Oryzias latipes: one gene and its partner. The protein of the gene in region 1 interacts with the protein of each later gene in a biochemical or structural test. Links are inferred from orthologs where the notes say so. Each region holds a gene or a part of one and is shown on either strand. Other genes may lie near its edges.

Region 1 (6,041 bases):
TGTGGAAAACCTTTCTGTAAAGGTCTTAGGATTCACACTGACACGTTTCGTCCGTTGGCTTTATGGAAAAATAGACTTTAACTAATGTAAAGGGCTCTTTATGATAAAGAAAAAATGGAAAAAGGTTCATTGTATGAATGCAACAATGTGTGAATGATGAAAGTTTAAGAAATGTCTGGACTAGTGAAGGTACACAAATGATGATCACATGATACTACAAGCGGGTTTATTTCTGTCTCCTTTGTACATAAAACTCCTTTCCTGCAGTGCTTCCCCCAAAATTCTGACGGAGCATTAAAAAGTTGACTGATCTTTTACACAAAATGTAAAAAAAATTATCCAAATGATTAATTACATGTGTTCTCAAAATAACTTTTTGCTTTTTTTGTTAAGCAAAAAACAACTTATAGTCCGTTTTTTATGTAGGAATGAATACTTTTGTTGAAAAAAGTTCTGCCTTTGTCCAGTTTCTTGTGAGTATTGTAAAATGTTTTTTTCTATAATGGTTTAGAATGCAAATTTGTCACAAAAAAAATCATTTGATTTTTAATTGAGTTTTGAATGAAGTTGAATGGTGAATTGAAATGGATTATCCATGACAGTTTTTGGTTGTGGTTCATGTTTGTGCGTGCACAATACACCTCAAGTTTAGTGGTTATTGTGAAACCCTAAAAGTAGGTCAAACTGCTCTACATTCGGCTAAAGAGACGCTCTCTGTGGAACCACAAAACACAGGTTTATCCCCTGAACGTCTAGACCACCTCAGTAATCAGTGCAGCTGTGGTTCAGGGTCTGCTCACATTAAGTATAGCGCAAACTGCGCTGGCGTTTGATGCTCACCATCAGTCGCCTGTAACTCAGACTGAGATGCACAACTGTGGAGCCATGTGATACAAATATTTTAACAGCAATAGTGTACATAAATTCCCTCTCCTCTACCTCCAGTCACTGACAGCAGCACCAGCTGGCTGGTGAGGAAACAAACCCAAAACTATCCTCACGGTTCAAAAAGTGTTTCATTGGTTCACAAGCCCTCTCTTCAAACAAAGAGTTGATATGTGGTCCAAAAGCTTTTTTAATATAGAAAGACAGAGAAAAAACGACTCTACTGTTAAAATAAGGAAATGCATTCTTAGATGTACATCATCACATGCCAGTAGGGCTGCACGATATGAGGAAGACCTGCGATATGTGATATTTGTGATCAATATTGTGATAACAAATAGCAAAACAACCCAAAAAAGCATTCCCATTTCATTCCAACAGTTTAAAAAGTATACCCCAAGTGACCCTCCTTGACACAGATGAACATCCAAGATAAAAGAGCTCCATCTGATTGGGTAACTGGAAGGTGTCCCTCTGATTGGTCAAATGGATAAATGGATTTATTTGATTTGTTAAATACTTCATAAGATTGTTTTAGCTCATTAAGGAAACCATTTATTGCAATTTTCTCCGTCTTTCACGATATGCATATTTCACAGCTTGATGTCGCGATGACGATAAATTTACGATATATTGTGCAGGCCTACATGCCAGTGGTGAGTCCGAGAGACAGGGACTTGGGACTTGGAATTGAGTCAGAATTAAGTCTCACATACAGAGACTTGACTTACAGTTTCATCTCAAGACTTGGGACTTGACTTGAAAATACGGCTAAAGATGCTGGACTTGACTAATAGTTAAAGCTAATAAATTGAGACTTGACTTGAAGTACCAGATAAAGACTTGAGACTTGACTGGAACTTATCACCAAAGACTCAAGACTTAAGTTGATTTCATCACCAAAGTTTTCAAATTTGACTTGAAAATAAATACGAAGACTTTGGAGTTGACTTGAAGTTGAAGAAAGAGACGTGTGAGCATTTCTGGTGTGTGCTGGTCTTAGGTTTTATGTTTTTTAAAGGTTTCCCTTTGTTCATTCTTTTCTTTGAGAATTGTCTTTTAAAGTCCTTCTAAAACCCAACAAGCTCAGGTTTACTGTCACATGGTAAGTTTTCACTTAAATTAAGTGAAAAAAGGAGAGAATATCCAACAAGAACTGGAGCTGGACAAACTGTTGATACTCTGATGGCAGATGTTTACTTCATTTAGATTAAAAATACCATCCAGTTGAGTCTGTTAAAAACTGTAACTTTGAATGGATATTACAAAAAATGTAAACGTGTTTTTTTTTTTTTATCTGTCCTACAGAACAAGGGGATCCACGAGTGGAACTTCAACGCCAAGTCTGTGCGGGGTGTCAGGTCAGGTCCAAACCCCATTAGACTGGTTGTCGGTTCCATTTCCTGTTGGCTCTCCTGGAGCTTGTGTGTTAGCAAAATGCATAAAACTTGAGACAAGTGGGGTGTCTCACTTCTTCTTCATTCTAAACATTTACACCAAATGTTCAATTAAAATGTTAATTAAAAAGAACAATAGAAAAGGAAAGTGGGAAGGAAAAACCATCCCAAAGTGACCGCTACTTTACTCATCAGTTAAACTCCTGGTCATTGCTGCAGCTTTAAGGGGAAGGCAAAAAGAGTCATTTGAGGTACTAAACATCAGCCTCAGCTCCTTCTTTTACATGTGGGTTGACATTTTTGCCAACTGCTATCTTCATGCCAGCTTCCTCATTAAAGAGAAAGATGGAGATAAACAGGCAGGAACATGAAGTGGGATTGTAATCCAATGCTCCTGTTTTAGAAACACTTCTTATCTCCTATATTTAACTCCAAGAGCTTGATTCTGTTGCTTTCTTTCTCGTCTTGACTTGTTTCAAGCAACTCTCCAGACTTTATCCCAACATTTACAGCAGGAACAGCTTGTTTTGTTGGCCGATATTAAGGACAATTTAAAGCATGGAGGTCGTTTTCCGTCGCCTCTCTTAACTGGACTAAATGAAAGACCACCACGGAAGAATTTTCTTCCCATATTTTTTTTCCCCTGCACGCCCCTCAAAGGAATTCAGTATCGGATCGGACGGGTTGTGCTTGCATGTTGCTAAGGAACGGCTCATTCCCTGAGCCCACTCAGCCTGCAGACAGTCAGCAGGACACAATAGCAGCTCTCTGAGCTGCAATGCCAACCAGAGCACACTGTGACACAAACTTCAATGTCTGGCTCAGCAAATTCTAAGATGGACAAAGCATCATCTCTCTGGACAAACACTTCATCTCACCAGTTGTTTGCTGAGCATATATCTTTTGGCGAAGCCTAGATTTAATAAAATATAAAATCATTCCTCATATAGAGAGAACATGAATAACTCTTGACTGTCTCTTCTCAGCATCTCCAAGTTTGACGAGCGCAGCGCCTTCCTCTATGTGCTCCACAATGCAGAGGACTTCCAGATCTATTTCTGCACAGAGATTCACTGCAAAAGGTCGGTCCGCCTATCATGGCTCCCGTTTCGGTTTAATCACAGGTAGTTCATTTCATCAGTCATTGCTAAGCGAGTCTCCTGCTGCACTGCAGTGGTCCCCTGTAGCTTTAAAACAAACACTTTAAGATACATCACTCACTGATCTAAAGATCGGTGCGTTGATCATGGCGCCATACCTGAGATTGTCAAATGTAGCTTCAACTACTATTTTATAATGCAGTTTAGCTTAAAAACATTTAAAACGACAAAGATTCTCAATTTTTTGTCATTTTTTTCCTCTGATGGTGATTCACATTGAAATTCAAAGGATTATCAGGTCTGTTGTTGCTTAAAGCCTTAGTCACCTGTATAGGTGCTGCAGGTTTCTGGATTCCAGGCCCATGGAGGGTTGTAGAAAACGTTCCATTGTCGTGCGTGTGGTAGATGTATCGTAAATATGTGGGAGTTGCACGCACTTTATGCCGTACGAATGATGCTGGCGTACAGTGTCCTTACGCCACACTCATTAGCAAGGTGCAAGAACTGACTTCTTACTGACCGCACGCAATTCTGCACACACAGGATATGCAGGTGATACGCAAGTACCCATAGGACGCCTGTAGCAGGTCAGCACAAACTACAATCTGATTATCTTATTTCCTCATTTCCAGTAGTAAAGTGGCTGGATGGCTCAGTCAGCTGGGTGTCACGCAGGAAGCCTGGGTTCTATCTGGGTCTCTCTGTGCCCTGAAAATACAGGGTTGTGTCAGGAAGGGCATCCGGCGTAAAAACTGTCTGCCAAACCACCTGTGGTGACCCCATGAACGTAACGTAAAAGTATCTCAATCTTTTTTTATTCACAGAGAGGGAACTTTCTAAAGAAAAAAAATCAGTTTATCAGAAGAGTTATTCTAACTTTACCAAGCTCTCTAAGTGCTGGACTCTGATTGGTTGTCTGCCCCCTCCTCTAACCCTCCCTCCCCCCTAGTTCCACAGATCAGTTTGACACAAGTTTTGCAGCAAGGAATATGTTTTGCGCCAGCAGATTCACGCAGAAGCACATTTGAGCAGTTGTACTCACAGATTTGACGTTGCAACTCTAAATGAACACATGCAAATGGGAATTTGTCAGTTCACAACAGAAGATTTTTACACACAGATGCAGATTTTTGGTGCACAAGTTTTCACATTTTATTTTACAAGTTCTCACATCAAATCTACAAGTTCATCCATTTAGAGACATTTTTACCTTCATAGCTTTTGTCACAAACAGGAGTTGTATGTGTGGATGGAATGGGATCATTCCTGGGGCTTTACATAACAATCATTTCAGACAAAACTCATCCTTCTAAGAGGAACAACCTGTAAAATAGATAACTGACAAAAAAAAATTTTACCCAATAGAAAGTGAAAATATCATTTTCAATTTTGGATCTGATTCTAACATTTTTGCATAAATCCTGCCGCTGCAAAAAACTCTTTCTGCAGGAACTTGAAGTCCTCTTGTCAGTTCTGAACCCTGGTGGGAAATTTCCCGTTCTTCCATCGGCAGCACACCTTGTTTCATTTCAACCCCATCATGTCCCCTGCCAGCTGCTCTTTGCAGCTCTGTGTTCCAACTTGTGACTCTCACATCTGAGGCTTCCAGTGTCATTATCTGGAGTGTGAGAGCCCAGTGACTCATGCCTGCTGTTGCGGTTACCGACGGTCCCTTTATCTCTGCTTCTGCAGGAAAAAAAGGTTTAAAGGACAGCAAGTGGAGGAAAGCTGCAGTTCTAAAAAATAAAAAAAAGGGACAAACAGCAATAGAAAGGATTGATTTGCATGTCTGCCTGCAGACATTGTGATTGGTTTGTGTTCACAATGACAGTGTGGTTGAACACCTGCAGGCGTCAAGTGTGACAGCATGATGAGTGCTATTTCACAGCTTGTGAGCAGCACAGACAGTAAATGTCATTGTATGAATGCATTGTGGAGGAGGAGTGCATGTAAACACACTGTTGCCCTATCAGGATAGGATCAGAGGCTACATGGCAACTCTCAATGACAATAAACTGAAAATTTAATTTTTTTAAATGTAAATTTTTAAGGACGTTTACTTGTCTTAGCTTTTTATATTTTTATTTATGGTAATATATGTTTATATATTTTCTAATGTATTGTTTTATTAGATAAACTTGATAAAACTTGAAAAGTATGAAATGCATAAAACAAATTTACACTGATTTGTATTCTTTTTTTGTTGTATACTTTTAGAAGGATTTTTAACAATATATACTTTATTCTTTTACTTACTGAATATTTGTATTAAATGGTATTATGAAATTATATTTGTATACATTAAACTCTTTTGCACATCAATTTCTATAATATGTAATATTTTTCAATTTTGTATTGTAATCGTTTTTACTTTTTTTTGCTAATCAAACCTTCTAAAATATGATTATTTTTTTTAATTAACAAAGTTTTTTAAATCTCTTTTAACATAATGTTATCATTATGCTATCAGGGTTACTACTTTTATATGTTTTTTTTATATATTTTTGTAAATTTTTATTTCTGTTCAATTTGTATTATTTATTCATTTATTTTAGCCAAAAATAACATGCCAACATTTCTTAATTATGTATTGGTATTTATGTATTTATAAATATTCATTTATTTTAATTTTAATTGCAACCTGGGCAAGAGGTAAGCA
Region 2 (6,620 bases), on another chromosome or scaffold:
GAATCCTATAGATAAAATCGTGGATCAAACACAACCAATCCTTCTGGTTTTTTGTCCCAAATTATTTATTTAACAAATCAGGCAGCTTAAAGTGTGTGCTTATTAGTGATTTTGATGTTAATAAGCTCCCTATAGCATTATCAGAATTCCATGAACAAATTCTGCTATACTGGAAAATATTGTATGTGCATCACCAAACTTAAGTACTATTTGGAACAATGAATACATGCTCCATAGAAACAAGTCCTTGTTTTGTGCTGAATGGTTTGGGCAAAGTGTTTGGTCGGTGACTGATCTGATATACACGAAGGGCAATTTTTTAGATTATGAGCAATTGTGTTTAAGACATAACTTCAATCCTCCTATCTCAGGATTCTTAAAAGTACGTAATGCTCTTTCTCGAGAATTAGTATTTCTAACAAGGAACACAATGACACATGTAATGATAAAACCACAATTAGCCACATTATCAACTGAAGCATGCCCTCTTATGGAAAAAAATGTAATAACTCTTTTATCAGAAATTGGTTAATTGAAAGATTATTTCCTGGACGATAGAACAAAAATAATATATTACAGAAATGTGAACAAAATGTTGTTTCTAAATTCAGAACCAAATTCATGAAACTTCCTATTCTCCCAAAAGTTAAAGAAACACACTTCAAAATTATGAATAATATTCATCCCTCCAAAGAATTACTTAGATTACGTTTCAACATTGATGACAACAGCTGTTCCTTCTGCCAAACTGCTGTTGAAGACACCGACCACATATTTTTCCTGTGTAGCATTGTACACATTTTTTGGTTAGATGTTTACAAATAGTTGAAAAATAAATTCCCATTCATTGTGAACCTTTTTTTAAAAAGAAGTCATAATTTTCGGCATATCACTACACAAAAATGTATTTATTTATGTATCAATACCATTTTATGAATAGTCAAGTTTTTTATACACAAAAACAATTACAGAAATGTCACCCCAACATTACCTTCTTTAATGCAGAAGTCAATTTATACTTAAAACCCCTAAGATTAATCAATTTACCAAAAGCATAACAGTTTATGATATTCTGAGCGATACTATCTGAGACGGTTTATTTAGTCATTGTTGTACCAACCAGCATTTGGTGTCACTATTAAACTCTGAAATTGTTGTTTTCTTGTGTCTTGTGTATTTGCACGTATATGTATGCATATTGATAAGTACTCTATTTTATTTTGTTTGTGCTTCCTTTTCAATTGCTATATTCTTTCTACTAGTATCCACCATATTTTGGGATGTTTTTGGTTTGTGTTCGATAAAGTTCTTTAAAAAAAAAAAAAAAAACTCTGATTCAGCATTTTATGTACTCTTCCTGTTTCAGAAATGTTATAAACTGTGTACTTATTTTGCAATAACCTTCGATCCCACTAGAGAGCCCTATTGCATTGCAGATGAGCCAGAGACTGTACTTCTTCTGACTATTGTATTTGTGTTTTGTTAGGGCTGTACCAACTGAAGATGGTGGACACACAAGCATCCTGAAAGCCTCAAGAGGCTGATGGCGTGGTTCAAACAGGTAATGTGGAGCATCAATCAGGAATGAAAAGATTTCTGTGTCACTGCTATTAATTGTATACACACATGACGCCTCTGCAGGGAAAACTGCAATGTCGGGAGCACGTCACCAAAGGCTTTGAAAACATGCCAGCTGCTTTTAAGGGGATGCTGAAAGGAGACAACACTGGCAAAGCCGTTGTTGCTGTCTGATGGATGACCAATAAAGGTCTTTACACAATTAATGAAGGAGGATTTTACATATACTGCACTGAAAAATAACTACAAGATATGTATTGTCTTTTCAGTGTTTAGTGAATTAATTTTATTTTTAAAATACATATGTGTGAGATATGTCTGTATTTCTCAATAGAATGTAGTTTTATTTAAATTGTTTAGTATTTTTCTCTTTTTTTCCCGGACAAACGTAAATAAAAAGATTGTTTTCTTACAGCTGTGACACGGCTTCTACCTGAACGGGGAAAAAAATCCAAAAGTGACATTTGCTTGTTTTACAGCGACATAGATAAAACTGTAACCAGATATTGTTGTTTATTCTATAATAAAGGTTGTTTTTGGTCTTTATTGATGTATGCTGGTATTGCATGCATTGCCTAACTGATTTGAACTTGCATCATATTTTAAAGAATGGAATTATGCAAAGATACTTTTAAAAAATGTTTTAAGGTCTAAATTAGGCAATTCTTAGGCTTCAAATGAAGTTTCCTTATTTTTACGATAGAACCTGTTGGAACATTCACATATGTAGTCTAAATACTCAAATTCTTTATTCAAATATGTAAATGGAAAAACAAGTCTTTGTGTACCATCTTTTAGAATTAATCTTCTGATTAAATCACTTCCCTAAACTTATTCCAACCATGATCAAACTGCAATAATTTGTCTAAATATTGCAATTTTTTGTTATAGTATGGACTTTTCTGTTTATTGTTTACCCCTTACTTTAGTTGTAAAAGAATAAACAAATAAAGTCTTTTTAAGCTATTACGTAATAAGACTAGTGCAGGGGTGTGGCCTCATGGGCGTTGACCAGAGTTTGTACAAGGAAATATGGTCTGCAGTGACCATGTTTACGGTAGTACAGAAATTTGCCAAGTCATTGTGATTCGACTGTCTGATCAAGCGTTGACGGAATTAAAAACAAAAAAAGTATTTCAACTTACTATCGATATAATTCTCTAAAAGGACGCGTTATTGTTAGTAGATTAGTTTTGCAAGTTATTTTAAGCCGCAACGAAACAACAACGAAGCACTAACGGGCCTCAGATATATATAGCCTGACATCACCGATTCTGTAGTTTTTATTCTCAGTAAAGAGCTAAAATATTTGCAAGAATCCAGGAAAGGAAACCATTCTGTTTATAACTTTCAAAATAAAAGTATTTTTCGTGAAGCTTTACCAGTAATAACACAACTGCTGATACAACATGAAATCAAGTACGGTTACAACACATTTCATGCACAATCATAGTGGCAATGACGTATACACACGGCGTTCTTTTAATATAAATGATTCGCTTAAACATAAAAGACTGGCTTTTATTTTGTTAGTCAACCCATCAGCTCTTCCGCTGCGACGTGTTAGTCTGACGCCGTTATAAATAGGGCAGGTCATCCTCTTTGACTGAAAGTGTGGTCTTTGCGAAGCCGCTGTCTTTTAGATTCAGCGAGAGTTTGCCTTTTCAAAACAGCAAACATGGTCCGTGAAGTGGCTGATCTTGTAAGTAGTTCTATAAATACAATTAATCATGTCTTTATTTATTTCGCTGTACTACTACATACATTCAGGACAGCACAGTTGACGTTAGGTAGCCGCGCGGTTATTTTCTCAGCAAGCTTCTATCTACTTACCTTTTTTGCAAGAAAAAAAAACCCTGTTAAAGCATTTATTCGCTTAGAGTTAGCATGTTTATTGTCGTTGATGGAATAAATTACTCCGACAGAATAACTCTGGAGGCTGTATTGCTAATGTTTAGTTGTTTTTTCTTTTTTTCCATTTTCTACCCATGATGCACGAGGGCGGACTTTGCTATCTTGTTGCCGCGCGAACACGTTGCCAGGGTTACAAGTTTTCGGAAAGGTTTTACCGTTAACTAGATAAAAAATCTTTTAGTAATACACCAAAAAAACGTTCCTATCATGGCTCAGATGAGCAGAAAGCTACAATAAAGTACTAGTTTGAGTAAAAGTCAACTCCTATTTGCGACACTTGGACCATTCCGCTAGGCCTCGGGCCGCCTCTGTCCGTGTGTACACATGCCTGGATGTCAAAACTGCTGAAATCATTCAGACTTCTGGGTGTCACTGGTTGCGTCCGAATTCCTTCACTAATCACTACAAAGTGCACTGTGCGTTCGCCATTTTGTAGTGCTGTCCGATTCTACAATTCCAAAATCGAGTGCCCTGCAAATTTCCCAGAAATCTCCGCAAAAAAACAGTGTGCATCAATGCTCACTAGATCTGTGAATATAGATCACAATGCATGGCATCAAATCTATTTTTGCTTAAAAATGTATTTAAATGTACTTTCTGAACAACCTGTCAAGTGTTTTTATCTTCAGAAGACTGATAAATGATCCTCGCAAAATGCTCCTATCAATTAGATTTTAACTTCGTGAAATCGATGACGTCATATCCGCCGTAAATTAAAAAAAAAAGTAGTGGGCATGGTGTCCAAATTGCTTTTAAGTCGGTGCACTCTATAGTTTTTTTTAGAAGTTGGGGGTTAGGGTGGGAATTCAGATACAGCGACTGCTTTTGATCTGGGGCTGTTCTGCTAATCATTAGCCAAACCTTTGATAACCACTTATCGTTACACTATGGGAAAGCCTGCTGACAAAATGAAGTAATTTATTTAAACGAATTCTTTACCTTTATGCTTATTTAAAATAAATGATGGAAACATGCTTTTTTTGTAGGCAGAATTCAAGAAAATTCTGGAAGACGCTGGAGACAAGCTGGTGGTTGTGGACTTTACTGCATCATGGTGTGGGCCCTGCAAACAGATTGCCCCCTTGTACAAGGTAGATAACTGGAGCTTAAAGACTTGATCCGATGAAAATGTTTTTAACATGTTTTTGTGCCCATTTTCTGATAAAGGAGAACATGTATAAAGAAATTTAAGCTTAAAAATGCATTTCTGAGTACTTCTTTTTCTTATTGTGAATCAGTCACAGGCAAGAAAGGACAGTTTTGACAGAGCTTGTAGTTGTAATGTAGAAGCTACAATCTGCAGGCCACAAGCTCCCTGCTCCACTCCATACTGATGCCTCTACTTGCAGACAAATGGATCCATGTACGTCTTTGTTTTCCTCGTCTGAGCTGTCATCCGGCTCAAAACTGTATGCCTGATAGCTCCGATATTGCTCACCATTTTTGTTTCACCTGTAGTGTTAGGTTGGGGGTTTGATGGGCTTTAAGCTAGTCGGAGAGCTCGGAAGTTACAACCCCTCTCTGTCAACCGTCCCAACCAGCGAATAGAAACAGGGGGACCAATTGAAAACGGTGTTTAAATGTAGATGCATTGTTACTATGGCAACCCTATAAGGTTTACCTCCCCACTTCAAGGAGAGGAAGTGCTTGTTCACAGGAAATGGTCCAACACACACCCAGTATGATTTTTCAGTAAAAGTGCTCTGTTTCTGTAGAGTTGAGTCTAATGTACTGTTGTTGTATGTACTTGTTGTCTTGCAGCAAATGTCGGAAAGCGATGACAACAAGAATGTGGTTTTCCTGAAGGTGGATGTGGACGAGGCTGATGTGAGTGTGCACGTTCTCCTCCTTGGCCAGTACAAACTAGCTTTGTTTTAATGGGCAAAACCAGCTTTTGTTTTTAGTCTCTCTACTTTATGAAAGCGTTAGGTTGCAATTGGGGGCCAGCAACAATAATTACTTAATAATTGTATTTTTATTTTTTTTAATTTTGATTCATAAAAAAAAACTGTTGCTTTTTCTCTTTCAGGATATCAGCAGTTTCTGTGAAATTAAATGCATGCCTACATTCCACTTCTACAAGGGGGGCAAAAAGGTAAGTAACTGAGTGCAGTAGTTGAAAAGTTTATAACTTTTTACAGAGGTTCTGATGACTTCCTTTAAAAAAAGAGACCCTGTGTCACATGGGATCATTAAGAGAGTCTTACTGTATTTTTCAAACCATAAGGTTATCTTAAAATCCTTGTATTTGTAAAATACTATTTATAAATTGAGTGTACTTACTGCCCTCAAATTGATTTCCTTTGGTACATGGGGCCCAAAAATCTGCCAAAATGTTTTAGTTTGACTTGTGATGCGTCCCGTCTGTCAAATGTTGTGGAATGAGTTGAATGAAGTTTAAGTTTACTTTGTCTTTTTTGCTATTTAAAAGGAAAACCTCTTTGTCTTTCTTTAACCAGAGAGCCATGTGTGCCCTGGTTTAAGTGATCCCTGTTTAAGCCCTGTGTAAGCTTGACTTAAACAATTAAACCAGCCTGGAAGCCCTAATGTCCATCCTGCAGTAGCAGAAACGGCTAGTTTTTGTTTGCAAATATTAGATCTCACCTTTTCAACTTCTGTCATTTTTTTATGTTTTTATTTTTCCAGGTGGATGAGTTCTCTGGTGCCAACGTTGCAACCCTGGAGGAAAAGCTGAAAGCACTGAGATAGGAGTAGAAGTCAGACTGACCAGAGCAGAAAATAAAACGCATAACTGATAAAGTCTTCACCTCATAACACACCCAAAGAAAGAATTGCAGCTAAGCGTCATGTTTAACTGCTATCAAGTTTTGTTTTTTTCCCCAATGTTGGCACTAACTTGTCATCTATCCTGAGTTGAACAGTTTGTGTACTGCATTTACTTCAGTCCAGGTTTTATTTTTTTATTTTTTTTTTCTACTCTAACCATTTATGAAGTTTGAGTAATCCATGTTACCTCTGTATGGATTTAATAAATGAATCAAACCCTAAACTGCCCGACTACAAAGAGCTTCTAATAGCATTTAATGCTTTAATAGAAATGTGACAATAGTTTACACATAAACACTGGAACGGTCACATCAATCTTTTTTTACACATCATACAAGTAT

Evidence for each region.
Region 2: the proteins of map3k5 (region 1) and txn form a complex in vitro, tested with the Homo sapiens proteins (3 studies listed by BioGRID). The link is inferred for Oryzias latipes from reciprocal best matches to the Homo sapiens genes MAP3K5 and TXN.

What each region holds. Positions count from the first base shown.
Region 1 is NC_019882.2:18,743,861-18,749,901, reverse strand, and holds part of map3k5 (mitogen-activated protein kinase kinase kinase 5), read left to right. Parts: intron 1-2,193; coding exon 2,194-2,246; intron 2,247-3,268; coding exon 3,269-3,364; intron 3,365-6,041. UniProt on the Homo sapiens protein: Serine/threonine kinase which acts as an essential component of the MAP kinase signal transduction pathway. Plays an important role in the cascades of cellular responses evoked by changes in the environment.
Region 2 is NC_019876.2:18,249,566-18,256,185, reverse strand, and holds txn (thioredoxin), read left to right. Parts: upstream 1-3,059; 5' UTR 3,060-3,256; coding exon 3,257-3,280; intron 3,281-4,478; coding exon 4,479-4,583; intron 4,584-5,253; coding exon 5,254-5,319; intron 5,320-5,521; coding exon 5,522-5,587; intron 5,588-6,138; coding exon 6,139-6,201; 3' UTR 6,202-6,502; downstream 6,503-6,620. UniProt on the Homo sapiens protein: Participates in various redox reactions through the reversible oxidation of its active center dithiol to a disulfide and catalyzes dithiol-disulfide exchange reactions.